Linked DNA regions of Nothobranchius furzeri. The protein of the gene in region 2 interacts with the protein of the main gene of each other region in a biochemical or structural test. Links are inferred from orthologs where the notes say so. Each region holds a gene or a part of one and is shown on either strand. Other genes may lie near its edges. The genes, in order: sf1 and tcerg1b.

Region 1 (7,893 bases), on a different chromosome or scaffold from region 2:
CAGAGTCAAGTATCCGATGCATTCACTACGGAGTTTATATTGTTTCATGTACTTCATAGACGTTTTAACACGAACCGATTTGTCGCCGTTCTCCTCCACCTCTTCACGCCATCGGCACCTTTAAACGCACGTTTCTCTTCGTTTCCATCCACAAATAAGAAAAACGATTGCTTCGTATTTTTGTACTTCAGTCACGGGTGACAAAAATCTTGTATTTTCATCTTCTGCACGGCCTTCAATCTGTTCTGTGTCAGCAGCTAAATAGCTTATTTTTTGAGGGGGCAATGGCGGTGCTGTTGACAACCTAAAAGGAAACAGCATCCCGACCAATCACAAGCTTGCAGCTTCAGTCACTTTTGATGGATAGTTAAAAAGTCGGGCATGTCTCCGTCAGCCTCGGCGAGCCTGCTGAAGAGACCTTGCGACGCACAATGGCGTTGCGTGTCGCCGCACCGATGCAGAGAGAAGAATAAATCAGGCTGTAGGGAGAACCAGGCTCTAACTGAGCAGGAGTAGAAATCCACGTTTGTGTTGTTTTAGTCATTGTCGTTTGACTTGAACCAGTCTTCTGTTTTCAGTGAGAAATCATTGTTGGTGATTTCAGCTGAACAATGTCTGGTTAGACTACAGCTTATTCTAAACTTTACAGCTTACATAAAAGATAAAAGATGTTTATTTCAATGTAACTGAACTGTTGTCTTGGATAAAAATGTGGTGTGTGTGTAAATAAAGGCTGATCGCCCTTGAACCAGATGGAAGGATTTTAGTTGCATTACTGGTTTGATGTTTACTTCTCCCTTGCCTTCTAAAGTTTTCTTAAAGTATGTTAATATGTGGCAAAAAGATCCCCACGCTAACGTCACCCACGCTTCCTGTTTGAAAAATGCCCCACAAGGAGGCCGAGAGGGTGGCACTGCGGCGGCGACTTAACCATTGGTGTTCCAAGTGTTTCTCCTTCATGTCGACTATTTTCTCACCTTTCTATGATGTCACATTTTTATTTGATCACATTGCTGTTAACTGGAGGCTTAACTAAATGTGATCTGAAGCTGCAAAAGGAAACAAAGCAAATAAAGCTAAACCTGATGAGTTCTGCATCAACGGCCTGCAGCCTCAGGCTGCATCGATCCAATCTCTACGGTTTATTTGTTGTATTTATGGAAACACAACAGTTAATTATTTAAGCATAAGTTAATTTAACCATTAGAAAGCTTTACTTTATACATCAAACATATTTTGACACCCATTCATTTCCATACTGACTAAAATCCTTACAAAAAGAACCACAGATAAACAAATTATATCTTTCTGAAGCTAGCAACTCTAGGAACTGTGGTGCTGTAGTGAGTAATAGTTCTAGCAAAGTGAGGACATCGAGGTGCCCTCAAACTTTTCACTAAACATGACATTTAAACTAACCACACTCAAATACAAGTCAATGTTTGCTTTCCAAATAGTCAAGAAGGTAGAGAAAGTGTTACTGTTTGAGGGTTTAATCTTTTTCCGACCTGTCCTCAGGGTTAACAGGGATTCCCAGGTCTCCTGTACGCAGTTTACGAGTCAGGTCTTCAATCTGCAGTTGGACTGGAAGAATTCAGGTTAGGAAAGAAAAACAAGGATGGAGAGAAATGTGGTTACCACAACAATATCAGAGAGACAACGCTCTGCACTTCAGAGCAATGTCTCAGTCATTACTGCTTTAAACATATTTGGTGAATCTGCCAAATAAAAAGGAAGTTCAAACAAACATCTGATAAAACTCAAGCATGAAACCAATTACTGGTTTTGGTGAGACCACACTATCAAAATGTTTATAAAGTCATTCAAATTGGCGTTAGAAGAGAAAAACTTGCTCTTCGATCATGATTAAGCATGACGACATGTCAAATGATGAAACCATGACTCCTAAACAGCCAGCCATATCATTACGTCTACAAACAAGGCCGAGGTACTTCTATGAATATGGGACGGCTCTCTGGGATTCTGAGGACGCATGTTTGTCCATTTGTTTTGCAGATTTGAACAACAAAACTGGCGATAAGCCACTTTTTGCACTCCACAGGTCTAACACTGAGGGGTTGCTGTGACACAGAAACAAGTCTTGCATTTAGAAGACAATGAAGAAATAAAATAGATCAGTCATTTCATGCACATTATGGAAGTTGTGAAGAAGAATCCCCTTGAACACAGATTCAGTGATCACTGAAACAATTACTCTGGGTTATTCAGATGAATACAGGCCTGATGCTCACATCTTAAAACTCTTGTTTTAGGGGATCTACTGAACGAGCAAAAGAAGCTAGAAGTGTGACAGAAGGTGAGCACAAATGAATGTTTACATACCAAGGAAAAGCAACCATTACCAATGAGAGACTAGTTAAAGGCAATTATTTCCTTTAAAAGAGGATGTTTGAGCAATACTGCTTCTAGAAGACTAGATCCCTCTTCTTTCTGGGAAGAGGCAACGATAAACTCTGTGCAACCTCGGATTAGTGGCTTATTGGTGAGTTGAGATTTTGTTTGTTCTTCGGCCCCCAAAAACAGACTAATCTAAACAGTTTCTGTTACCTACAGGTTTCAATGTGAAACTGAATTATTTTCCATTGGTTCAATTTCATATCTAGGTCCACCTCAAACGGCCCTAACCCAAAAATCTGTGGGTTTTTTTTGGGTCAGCAGCTGTAATGCTGTCGGTCCTGCCTAAAAGATACAAATCTTAGTCTTTTATGAATAAAGTTTGATATTGGTCTATATTCTACTAGTCTAATTATTTTAGCATTGGTTCTCTTCTGCAACAGGAAGAATCTGTGTAAACCCAACTGAAGCAGCATTGCCCACATTCAGGCCAATTATCCTCTACCACGCAGAGTAATGAGGATGTGTTGAACGAGCGGCAGCGTGGCGGTTTTCAGCAAACAGACGTTTGATCAACTATCACCAACTCTTGTTAATGGCTGCCCAATGGTATGCAAACTGGGGGACTACAAAACAGCAGAAACACTCAAAGGGAAATGAACAGAAACCTCACAACAGCATTATTATTATTATATTGCTTAGTAAGAATGATTATTTTGTCTCAACAGTTGGAGCAAAATAAGACATTTCCACCTTTTAGCAAGAAGAACAGTGAAAAGAACTTTATCTGACTTTGAATTAGCATTGCCTTAGAAAGCTCAAACTGTTGGGAATTCAGGAAAAAGGAAATAGCCTAGATGCTGGTACCATAAGAGAAAACTAGAACCTTCAACAAAACAGTAACATCCAGTAACTGACATGGTAAACTTTGGTAAAGACGAACATCATTTACCTATATACGCCCTCTCCTGATCTCGCGTGAGTCCAGGGGGAATAACAGTGGGCATCCCCGGTATAACAGTCTTCTGATCAGGGGTCTCACTGCTCCATCGACTCCTCTTCCTAGTTTTCTTCTGGCCGAAATCTAAACAAGAAAAATTAACCCATGAATTTTACTTTACCCCTTTATGAGAAGCGTTATTCAAATTCTACATCAAATGTCAGAGAAAAGAAGATGCTATCTGATGTAGCCTCTGGCTAGGGCAGTAGCGAAGCCTCGACGACGTCGACGGCTCGATTCTAAAAATTTGTCGACGTCAGATCCGGAAGTCGATGCACCGCGCCCACTTGTTGCATCCCCAGGAGTTTGTGGAATCTGCCTGTTTTTCCTCCTCTAGTTCGCCCTCTTCTCCGCCTTCACTAACATCTCCGCCAAATACCGAAGACCTGGAACAATGTCCGTCCACAACTAGATTATTTTCCTGTTTTGCCCGCCTTCGTCTCCCGGCAACGGACAACAACTTCCGGGGTCAGATGCGCTGCTTCGTCTCTACCGCAGATGTAGAAAATCACCGGGAGCGTTTCTCCCTTCATAAAGGAGCTTCTTTCAGACATTAGGAGAGCTGTGCTGGTGGTAGCAGTCTCTCCTCCGTGCTGGTCTGTTTGCTGCTGGGTGTTTTTGGTTTATTTAAACTTGGTGACTTGAACTTAACGTTGGTAAAGCTACTGTTAGCATCTTCGCTAACAGCTTCTTGCGTTTGGATAAGCTGTTACGTTTTGGTTTAGAGTTCATCTTTTTTGTGGTGCAGATCTCCCTTTTATTACATTTAGAGTGTTGTGGGTTTTCGGTTTAGTTTAAAATATCACCTTGAGTTTGGTTTCACCGCCCAGTTTAGAGTTGGACCTTTGGAGATCCTTATTTTGGTCCAGAACCCTGTAATCTTTGCCCAGTGGGACATCCCCACTTATTTGTACTTTTGTTTTAATTCCACACAGGCAGAATTAGTTTTATTATTCCCAACCTGCGGATGGAAAGATTTATGTTTTTTTGTAGTTGTAAACAAACCTGATCATCATTTTAACTTTTAAATCCCGTTATTGTCCCTTCCTTTTTGCACACGAGCCAAACTCCCCAGGAAGGGTCGTAACACCACTCGCCTCACGCACATAAGTGACCAAAACAAAGCAGCATGGAGACACTCCGTCTCCAACCACCTCTCAGGCAGCAGCCTGCACTCCCAAGATCTACACGTCACCAGAACATAACCAACCAACACAATAAAAGCAGTGTTGTACAAAATGGAAGGCCTGTAGTGTTTATTCTCTTACAGTAACAATTGATCAATGTTTTTGAGGAATTTATTTGAGATTTTCTGGTTTTTGTTAATTGTGCAATAGAAAAATAATCATTAGACTAATTTTCTAAATACTCATTAGAATAGTCGACTATTTGATAAAATAATCGTCAGAATAGGGCTGGGCGATATATCGATATTCTTTAAATATCGGTATAATTTTTAAACAAGATATAAGATGACTATATCTTTATATCGATATAACTGGCCAAACTGCTATGCTAGCGATTAGCCGCTATGCTAGCGACATGTTGCTCCGTCTCTAAGCAGCCATTACGTATATTCTCACAAGTTTGCTCAGTCTGAGAGCCTCTGGGTAAATGTGCTGCTCTAAACTTTGCATTTGGCCTCCTGGTTTTTAATTATTTGGGGACGTTCAATGCCAACGGTTTTCCATCCTGCTTGTGCAGAGAGACGAGCCAAACCCCTCCCTCCCCTGTGTAATGAGGAAACGGCTACGGAAAGCCGGAGTGGCCAAATGACCTGAAACATATTTAAGGGTTTGAATAGTAAACTATAGGGTTACCGTTTTATTTTGAAGGCGAACTCAACGGGTGAGAAATGTTGTTCCGGTTCCGTTTTTTTCCGTTCTGGTTTGCTATGCTAGTAAATACTCCGTTACGAGTGACTCTGATGAAAAAGTTGAGTTTGTAAGGTGTGGGTTATGGCGACAGTAGCCCGAAAATAACACTCATAAAAGCAACCAGAGACTCTGAATCATTACAGTATAATCGCTGATATGAGCCAACACTGCTAACTAATAACTAACGACTAGTTAATAACTAGTTTTTCTAATAACTAATAACTCCATGGTGCATGACCCATGTGATCTTCAGTAGATGCAATTACATCATCGTACATTTAGCTTAACATGATGGATTTTTTTTCTCTGGACAAGATCTATACAATATGGGCCACCTCTAGATGAAATTTAAATAATTTCACATTAATTATAAATATATAATTAAAAAGTGCCTGTGGGACATTTGATACACCTCTGGCTCTCAACTGTGTGTGTGTGTGTGTGTGTGTGTGTGTGTGTGTGTGTTAGCAGACATCTGTACCTGTGTTACTAAAGCTCAGACTGGTAGAGAATAGGCACTACGGTTAAAGTTTGACCAGAATCAATACATTTTTATGCATTTAACCTACTGATTTATGTATATAATTTCTCAAGAGCTTGAAGTGAGTTAACTTGTCAACAGTTTACAGGAGGAAAAATATCGAGATATATATCGTATATCGGAATTCAGCTTAAAGATATCGAGATATAAGTTTTGGTCCATATCGCCCAGCCCTACGTTAGAATAATCGTTTTAAAAATAATCGTTTTCCCCCAGCCCTACCGCTGACTGGTGTCAAATGCCTAAGTACAAAGTTGAAAGGAAAACAATGTCCAAACTATTTCTATTAATTGGGAAAATGGCTTTTGTCACAACTGGTAAAGAACGCAGGAAAGCACACGCCAACCAAAACAATGGGAGCGGAAGCAGTCCTGTCATGTTAGAAAATTGTAAACACCTCAAGCAGAGGCCCAACTTGAGCTGATTAAATTTATATCTGTAATAATGCATTCGTGATTAAAACATTGGCAGCAGATGTCATTGCTTTTAAACTAGTGTATTCAAGACAAAAGCTTTAGTTAACCCAGAATTCAACATAGCAGTAGGGTTGTCACGGTGTGAAAATTTAACCTCACGGTTATTGTGACCAAAATTACCACGGTTTTCGGTATTATCACGGAAGTTTTTTTAAACGTGTTACATTTTCACACAATTAAATAAACCCTGTATGTCAGGAAATATTGTCCTCAGTTTGTGTCTAAATTTTGCCTAAAATGTGTTATTTTGTAATTATGTTGTTTATTTGTTTATATTTTTCCCTTTAGTCTTTAAAATACCAATATTTGCCCATAACTTCTTATTTTGTCTGTTTGATGTCATCATTTAAAAATATTAGACCAGATGATACTCAGTACTCAAGTAGCCTTCTAATCAGATACTTTTTTACCCTTACTTGAGTAATAAACCCTATATCAGGAAAATATCGTCCTCGGTTTGTGTCCTTCCAGTGAGCTTTGCAGATGTGGGAAAATGTCATCAGGCAGTAATCATTGTTAAATTCATAATTATTCTCAGAGAGAGACCAACTCTTATCCGCCCCTGGGAGCCCCGTAATGCATAGCGTCATTTCAACATGGGGGGTGTCCGCGACACGGTTTATATGCAGGTAGCGGCGCTGCAGCTGCTTTATATAGCGACTCGTTGCGTTCTCCCTCAACCCAAATCCTCGGATCACGCATTTTAGCTAAAACGCTAACGTTAGCTTGCCTTGCGTTGACTGTAGAGTTGTGGGTGATGGTCACGCAGATGTGTCATGAGATTTGAAGCGTTGCTGCCTTTCACAGACACTTTTTCTGCACGTGCTGCAAACAGGATAGCAGTCTTCTATCAACTGTCCCTCGGCATTCTTCAGATATCGAAAACATGCCCGTACTTCCCACTTTGTCTTCTTTGAGGGATAATAAATGTCCTCCTGAGCGCTGCCGTCTCCTCCTTTGGCCATTATTTCAGCTTTAGCTTCAAGGCTATTAAAAGGCTGTTTTACTATCTAACGCTGTAAAACGCCTCACAACGCATTTTTATCAAAATAAATGATCACTGTATATTGTTAATTCAAATAATATAATATTGATTTAGTGTTGTAGTGTGTGTGCTGCTTTATTTTATATGTGTACTTATTTCAGTCTATTTGTGTTTCTTATGCAGAAAAAAACAAGCAACGATGGACAACTACATGGGGAACAAGACACTCACCCCCCCCCAGCAATGCATACCACTTACAAACTCTATTCTAGATTCTACATAATTTTTCATGGAATTTACCGCTTATATTTTGATGCCAAAAAATTATTCAGGACTGATATTTTTCACTGTTTAGCTTATTTTACACCGCTGACTGTGTTCATGTGCAATAAAATCGATTGCAGTCAACTGCATAATTCTCCTATGTTTTTCTTTTTCTTAACTGAAATGTATTCATCACTTGTATAGGTTAAATAGCTAAACAATAACAAACCGATTAATCGATAAAAATTATCGACAGATTAATCAATTATGAAAAATAATCGTTAGTTGCAGCCCTAATAGTATCGTTTACCAGATTAGATTTTGCTGAATCACATAGTTGAGTGAGTAAACAGATACATTTACACAAAATTAATTGCACAACCGCCCGTTTCAAC
Region 2 (8,450 bases):
ATGCTCCAGACATGATATTCCAAGGTGTTCCAGGAAAGTAGTACGTGTATGAAAGTGTACTCTGGCCCTCCAGTAGAAGTAGAAGTACTTCCACTGGAGCCACACGAGAGTGGGTGGCATTCAAATGAAGGGCAGAAACGGTAATTCCTCGTTTCTCCGTGTCTGCCCCCCCTTTTACATTTATTTAGCAAATTAAAAGGTTGATTATTGTGGAGCTCTTCCTGGGTTGTGTTTAATTTGTCATGCCTGATTATTATGCTATTTTGTGTTCTCACACCTGGGACCATGCAGCGTTTCTTTTCACACTGTGTGTTTTATGTTTACAGCACATGACTCAAAGCAGAAATATTGGTGTAAATCTTCAAAAAGTATTTTTACAAGCAGACATTCCTCACTCTGATCATCTCATAAACCACATTTTGGGAGTGGGACCTGTCCTACATTTAACATAAGATACATTTCCTTTGTTTAAATGATGAATTTTAAGTCTAGCAGAGATCAATCCAAAAACGGTTTGTGTGAGAAGTGAGCGAATGGCGTTGTGTATCTTGGTTTGACGTGCAAACACAGCTTATCATTTTCTGAGGCACTGTCCTCCAAAAGACCAAATCTTTATTTTGTTACTCTCAGAAGGATAATTCCATAGACTTCCTTTAAATATTTTATTAGTTTACTTGTGAAGTCATGTTCATACAGGAGAATTACAGCTAATCGAATTTAGTTGACTTGAATAATGCTTTTCTTTTCCTTCAGCAGGACGTTTTGATTTGATTGTACTTGTTTTCTGTACTTCACTCAACATTAAATTAAGTTATAAACCTTAAATCCAGAGATTCCTCATTTGTTGACATTATTTGAAAAGAATAGCTCAATTTCAGCTGCACCCAGGCTTTCTGCTCCATCACTGAAGAAAGGGTTGCAAATGGAAAAAATATATGGCCCCTTAAAGAACCTTCCTGAGAGTGACCAGTAGGGGGTGTGTCTGCAAGAATTTGGTGATGAGATATAAATCACAAAACAGGAGAGATGACACATATATTGTACTAAACGCCAGATGGTATTTAAAATATGTAACACTGAATTGACTCAAGGCAAGACACCTCCAGAGTTTTACATCAGAATGAAGGCGTTAAAAGCTACTGTCACCTAGCAGTCGGAGTTTGAATTGCACCACAAAAGTACAGAAAATAATTGCATGTAAATTCTCAATTAAATATAAATAAAATATAGATACACTGCTTTTACATATCAACTCAGTATTGTAAGGTGAAATATCACAATATATTGATATAATGCGATGTATCGATATTGTCTTACATTTTTAGACTTGCACACACGTGTTTAAAGATGGCTGCCTCGTGTAACTAGTTGATTTGAAGCGTTGTTTATATGTGTCCCCTGAAATTAACTTGACGCGTTTGCAAGCTGCAACATACAAGTTACCAGTAGGTGAGGTTGACAAAACGAAAGAGAAAAGCTCTCCATGGTCACTCCGTCTCTGGTTTTGAGGGTTTTTTTTACCATCTATTTTCTGTTTTGATCTCAAAATTAACCAGTAAATGATCTCTTCTGTTGACGCCATGTTTGTTTTGGTTGTACCCATTGACACCATGGACATACATACATTGATTGACACATACAAACCTAGAACTCTGTCTGGTCTGAGTTCCCCCTAGTGGAACAGTCTAGTACTACATGCAGTGCAGCAGCAAGGATGTGAACAAAGACAGCCAGCTGCCTGCCTGGACTTGAGGATGAAAAGCAAGTTTATTCCCAGCTTAAGTTGCCAACCTACCAAAATTACTCAAAGAGCTAAATGAAGAGTTCATGAGGCCACAAAGAAGCCAGAAGATTTAAAGCTCTGCTGGCTTTGTGTGGTTACGATTAGAGCTAATCAAAAAATATGAAAAGAACCGCTAAAGGTATAATATGTATCTTGATCTTCAAGACACACAACAGCAGAAGAAGCGCTATGAATACTTTTCGGATGCACTGTATTTGGATAATATTATATTTAGGGTTAAATACTGTCCGTATATAGACAGCTCTAACAAATGAACATTGGAAAGTTTCCACGTTTTTATTGTGAATAAAAACAGTTTGGAAATGTTTTCTTCTACTTGCATTTGTTATTATAAAATCTAGTTATTAATTATTACTCATTTTCTATTTTGCCCCGAACCAATTCAATATAATATGTTGCACATAACTTAAACTTGTTTAATCAAATCAATAAAATTTGTATCAAATTAAATCAGCAAATTTTTGGAAATTACTGTTTTTTTGTGATATGGTGGCCACCTGGTAAAACTACATCCATTCTTACTAAATTAAATTAAGTTAGCAATAGGCAATATAAAATAAATATATTCAATTAGAAATTGTTAACAGCATACATTTGTAATTTCTAATCAAACACTGCAGATATAGAACTTTTAGTTATTTGTTGGGCAGCAGTAGCTCAGGAGGTAGAGGGGGTTGTCCAGCATTTGGATGGTTGCAGATTCAATCCCGGCTCCAGACAGAGAATGTTGCTGTTGTGTCCTTGATTGCTGCTGACTCTGAAAGGTGCTATACAAGTGGGGGTCATTTATCATCATTTATTGTTTAGTTCAAAGATCAATAAATACCCAACTGCATCTAAAAAACACACATACATTGAATTAAAATATATAAAAGGTACACATTTTGTTTTAAAGGAAAAGCAATAATGTATTAGGATTTCACCATGAATGTATAAAACACTCAAATAAATAAAAGAATTTTTACAGTTTTTTTGTCTAAATATACGTTTAATTCAATTACTTGTAATTCATCATTTAACTTGATTGATTGCAACATACCTGATATATATCAGGTATATATATATATATATATATATATATATATATATATATATATATATATATATATATATATCAGGTATATATATATATATATATATATATATATATATATATATAATGGATAAAACCCAATCCTTTAGTATCTGGCTTACTAAGGAGGGGTGTTTACCTCTCTCTAGTGGACACGGGGTTACTACAGCCATCAAAAAGCTAAACAAGACAACTGATTAGCACGTCCTGTAAATTTAATCTATATAGAATATACCACTTACAATTTGCTATGGTTTTTAAATTAGCGTTAACTGCATGGTTCTTCAAGATAACGGGAAAGCCAGAACGTCTTGAGTAATACAAACTTAGAAAAAGTGCAGAGAAGATCTAATACTACATTTCAGTAGTGCAACAGTATGACTATGATAACTAAACAGTAAAGACATTTTCCTGCGTAAAACATTCAAATGTGCCTAATTCAAATAAATCTACATCACATTCAAGCTAATTTAAACTATTTATCAACAACCGGACTGAACAAAGACGTGTAAAAGAAATGAGACCCATATTAGCCAATGACTGATTTGCTGAAGTTACGCGAGAGGAGTATTATCCAATAGGTGCGAGCGTTGCTCAGACGGCATCGATGTTGACGTCAAAGATCAGCCAATGGGAAAAGGGCAAACCCTCTTAGGGGCGTTTCCAGGAAGAGATCAATTAACATTTTCCTGTAATGGCGGACCAGGCAGAGACCGATACTGTTGGGTTTAACGACAACAGGTGAATTTGTCGTTCAACGTGAACGTGAGATTATCGTTAAATTGATCACAATCTAAAATGTCATATGCATATGTAGTTCTGGCGGAATCTTCGTAATAATCAGCGGGTTTATTGGTGAATGTAGCCACGCCAGCTAACTAGCTTGTTGCTAGTTAGCCCATGTTGCAGGTCTCGTCCTGCTTGTAGCGGGCGGTAAACAGACATTTTTCTAGTATAAACGGAATTCTTATCTCCCAAGGCCCTGATCTTCTGTTTAGACAGTACACGTTTAAACAAATAATACCAAGCCTGTATGTGTTTGTAAACAGAAGCGCGGATCATTTTCTTTAGTCTTTTGAATGGTGTGTGTTTCTGTTAGTTTGGTTAGCATCAGACGACAAAATTTTGATTGTGTCTACGTGCACGGATTACTGGACATGCCCTCAAAAAGGTTTTACACACACACAAGCATCTGTACTAACTTGACAGTTTAAACAAAAACGTAATTGCAAAATTGAATGCGTCAGAAGCTGTCCCCATGCTACACTTAACTTTTTAGATTGATAAATAATCATGTAGGGCTGCACGATATTAGGAAAACCTGCGATATTCGATAACAGTGCTTAATATTGTGATATCGATATTACTCGCGATAAATAAACAAATCCTAAAGTATGTAGTGTTGTCATCTGGCGTGTGACGTCTGCTCTGGGTTTAAAGCAAACAAAAACTAATGCATGAATTCCATTACAGCATAACATTTTTATTGCCAAAATATGCAGCTGCACCTGCTACTGTATTAGCAGCAAAACAACATCTGCATGCATGCAGTTTCTCAGTGACTTTAAAACATCACCTCCACCATAAAACTTTTTCTGATGCTCCAAATACAGAAAAACATCCCTTACCAGTGTTGTTTGAATAAATAAAAACAATCAGAAAATAAGTTTAAATGTTAAATAATAGTTAACATCACTTAAATGCAACAGCAAATTCTCTCATTGCTATTGAGCATTTTCTCCACTTATGTGGTTATGATATAAGGCTGTTGCTGTAATTGGGAAGTGAACTGTGCTGGGCCAAACTAGGAGAATATTAAGATTTTCTGAGGGAAAGAGAAAAACAATTGTCTTTCAGAAGAGGAACTGGTAAAAAACTACATGGAAAATATGTGAAAACGTTTGTTTTTAACCCCAAATTGAACAAGTTTACCTAGATCTTAAAAAGCAACTCAGATGATGAAACTGCAATTATGATTCTGATAACAAGCTAACAAATTGAACTAGCTCGTCTTAAGATAACCGGCTAGCAGAGCTTCTGACTGACAGTTTATGTGCAGCAGCAAATCAACTATCCTGATTAACAAGGTTATAAAAGCTCATAAATGAAAAATCACTTTGATGTGTGGGGGAACTTTTCCAGGCCCACTTTAGCAGGGTGGGACTGGGAGGAGAGTGCTGTAGCCTTTTAGCTGGAAGCTAACCGGAGCCTGGGGCTAACATCACCACCCGGTGGAACACTAGCGACATGAAGGTGGGTTGGTTCACCGGCACATGTCGGAGTCAGCCCGGTAAAAATGATTAACGACACCGAGCGGACTCGCGTTCACGTTTGAAAGCAACGCTGATAACAGAAACATCAGCACAAAGTGCGTTCGTTGCTCTGAGCCAGAAGGCGAACAAGGGAATGGCGCCGCTAACTCTGTTCGGGTGTTGCTTTCCAAAAGGGTCTACGTAGGGGGCGGGCGTATTACACGAACAAAACCATCTGATTGGCCGCATATCAGAAGGACTACATTTGGTCAAATAATACTTCCGCGTAAAAAACAGAGCTGGTTTACAAAAAGCTGATGTATGACACTGATGGAAATGTTTGAACCAAACATTTATTGCTGTTTTTGCCGTGTTTTGCAATGGGCCTATCGCACGTGTTATCGCGATGACGATAATTTTTCGATATATTGTGCAGCCCTATAATCATGTAATCACCACCGTGTATGTAATGCATTAGTATTGATTTTGCAACGGAATATTCTTATTACAGTTTGTGTTTTTCTTGGCTCTGGCTTGGCTTAAACAGCATTTTTGTAAGTAGAAAACACGAAACTTTGCGTTAAAAAACCTTTAAATTTAATGTAACGACTTTTCACATGACTACTTTGGCATTTTGTTGGGTATTTTTCATCCTGTCTCTTGTTTACAAGTTTGAGTATCGTGCATTTCTTCTTTTATGACTTGTGCATAACTCTGCGTTGTTTTGTTAGGATAATGCAGCAGGCAGTGCAGTTTCGCAGCCCTGCCCCTGCCGCTGCACCCGCTCAGACCCCGGTGTTACGGGGACCTCCGCCCCTCCTCAGACCACCTCCACCACCGTTTGGAATGATGAGGGGACCCCCGCCAAGACCTCCATTCTCACGCCCACCCTTTGACCCCAACATGCCACCCATCCCACCACCAGGAGGCATGCCACCACCCATCGGACCTCCTCACCTCCAGGTGCTTTTTAGCTTCAAGCAAACATGTTTATGTTTGTTTTTAGGAGTCACAATGTTGTCTAAAGCTAATAAGCTGGATTTGACATACAGTTCAGATAACAGTGGCATATGGATAAATCAGAAAATGATAATTTTTAGCTTAATTGCTACATGTTTGCTTTTTTATGCAGGCTTACTACATAAAAAGCTACGATTAATTTTATTTACCCATTCAGAATCTTGTTAACAGTATGGATTGAACATAGAAAAGAGGAAAACAAAATAAAAACAGATTTTTTTTAACGTATAGCTCTCATATTTGCTGTCTGCAAAGAAACAGACATAATTTAGCCATATAACTGCATTTTAGAGAGAAATCCGCCTAAATGTTTTACAATTATTTGATTTAGATTACAAAAGTGAAATGCTGTTTTTGTGTTTTGTTTTTGTTCTGCAGAGACCTCCGTTTCTCCCCCCTCCTATTGGAAACTTGCCGCCTCCTCCTGGGATGTTGTTTCCTCCTGGAATGCCCCCTGTCCCTTCATCTGGAAACCCCACTCTCAGTCCTGCTGAGGAGATCTGGGTCGAGAACAAGACACCGGACGGAAAGGTCAGATGGAAGTTTGGTTTATGCAGGTTTCTCTAGTGAGACTGATTATATATATTTTTTTTAATTTATGCAGTTTTTCCAGATTTTTTATGAAGACTAAATCTCAAGTTGTGTTTACAGACTAGATGACAAGTTCCTCTCGTTACCCTCACAGGCATATTACTATAACGCTCGGACCAGGGAGTCATCCTGGAGTAAACCAGAAGGTGTGAAGGTCATCCAGCAGTCTGAACTCAACCCTCTCCTGGTAGCGGGGCCTGCAGCTGCAGGCTCGGGGCCTAGTGTGGGTGTGACTGCAGCTGTCAGCTCCAGCAGCGGGAACACCACGGCCAGCACAGCCGGAGCAGCCTCTCCCACTCAAGCCCCATCCTCAACCCCATCCCACACGCTCACCTCCAGTCCTGACCCCATCACCACCGCTTCCCCCTCTGTGTCCATTGCAGGTAAAGCTGTGCATCAACGACCAACAGATCGTGCAAACAAAATCAGAAAGTAACCATTTCTCTTATTATTATTCAATTTCTGTCTTCTGCAGCCACCGTCGTAGCAGACCACCCTCCTGTTGCCACAGTTACATCCACTGTTGCTGTGTCGCCGGTCACCGTGGTGACCGTTTCCACGGTGCCGTCACCTGTCACAGCCGTTCAGACTGTGCCACTGCTGCCTGCAGCTTTGCCTCACAGTGTGGCCCAGCCTACTGCAGCCATACCTGCCTTCCCCCCCGTCATGGTGCCACCGTTCCGGGTGCCTTTACCCGGCATGCACATTCCTCTGCCAGGTGAGTGGAACTGTTGCACTGGAAGGATCGTTTTGCTGCTAAGGCTGCAGTTGGTTAGCTCAACCTTTAAGATTCAGGGACACATGGAACAAACTTTTGAGTGTTTTGTCTTGTTGCTGTGCGGCTCCTCGTAGCATCACCTCTGCTAAGTGTCAACATGTGCGGGTGGGGGAGTACTGTAGTCATTTTTTTGTGATGCTTATAGGAAAAATGTGTTTTTTAGTACATAAAGGGATCAGATTTACTGTAGCGCTACATAACGTTTTGTTGTCATTTAATAACGGGTGTGTAGTATCTTAGTGTCTGATTGGGACCACACACTCGTGCACACCATGGTAGCTGATGTCTGGTGTCCTGCTGTGTTCAACCACATGCTTGCTTGTCCGTTGTTCTTGCAGGTGTAGCAATGGTGCAGATAGTAGGTGCTCCCTGTGTAAAGGCAGGCCCCAGCGCCAACGGTAAACACCCAGCTGCTCTCCTCTCAGACCCACATTAGATGGCATGGTAGTGAATGGTGTCCACATGCATCGTTTTGTAAATGTGGGGGACGTTGAAACCGTGGCATGCTGTTGAATGCTGTGAAACATAATTCATTCGCTGTAAAGTGGTGAGTTTTCAGCCATTCCAGCAGACAGAAGCAGATGCATCTTAAATGTGATCACACACGCTTCATTTCTCATGATAACTTTGTTGTATTAGCTCTGGTTTTACCCAACTGTATCGTTGGAAACATACCGCAGAAGCTTTAGTAAAGGAAACAGATGCACTGACTCGATTTGCGCGTTTTCTTCAGAATGTGTCGTCACATGACTTGTTTTTATTTACTCTGCTGCTTTAGTCAATAAATGGGGCAAATTTAGGTTTGTTAGGGACAAGCTAAGAGCAGTTAGCATTAGCCGCTATCGGTTTGTTGTGTGAGAATGGGGGGGCTACCTGTTGTGGTCATGTGCTTGTGGCATGGTAGTGGGGTGTGTGGTCGCCACTTGTATGTTT

What was found.
Region 1: the proteins of tcerg1b (region 2) and sf1 form a complex in vitro, tested with the Homo sapiens proteins (3 studies listed by BioGRID). The link is inferred for Nothobranchius furzeri from reciprocal best matches to the Homo sapiens genes TCERG1 and SF1.

The regions. Positions count from the first base shown.
Region 1 is NC_091743.1:88,299,986-88,307,878, forward strand, and holds part of sf1 (splicing factor 1), read right to left. Parts: intron 3,440-7,893; coding exon 3,308-3,439; intron 1,585-3,307; coding exon 1,509-1,584; intron 1-1,508. UniProt on the Homo sapiens protein: Necessary for the ATP-dependent first step of spliceosome assembly. Binds to the intron branch point sequence (BPS) 5'-UACUAAC-3' of the pre-mRNA. May act as transcription repressor.
Region 2 is NC_091750.1:56,776,628-56,785,077, reverse strand, and holds the start of tcerg1b (transcription elongation regulator 1), read left to right. Parts: upstream 1-3,528; 5' UTR 3,529-3,570; coding exon 3,571-3,617; intron 3,618-5,859; coding exon 5,860-6,091; intron 6,092-6,526; coding exon 6,527-6,679; intron 6,680-6,833; coding exon 6,834-7,122; intron 7,123-7,214; coding exon 7,215-7,457; intron 7,458-7,855; coding exon 7,856-7,915; intron 7,916-8,450. UniProt on the Homo sapiens protein: Transcription factor that binds RNA polymerase II and inhibits the elongation of transcripts from target promoters. Regulates transcription elongation in a TATA box-dependent manner.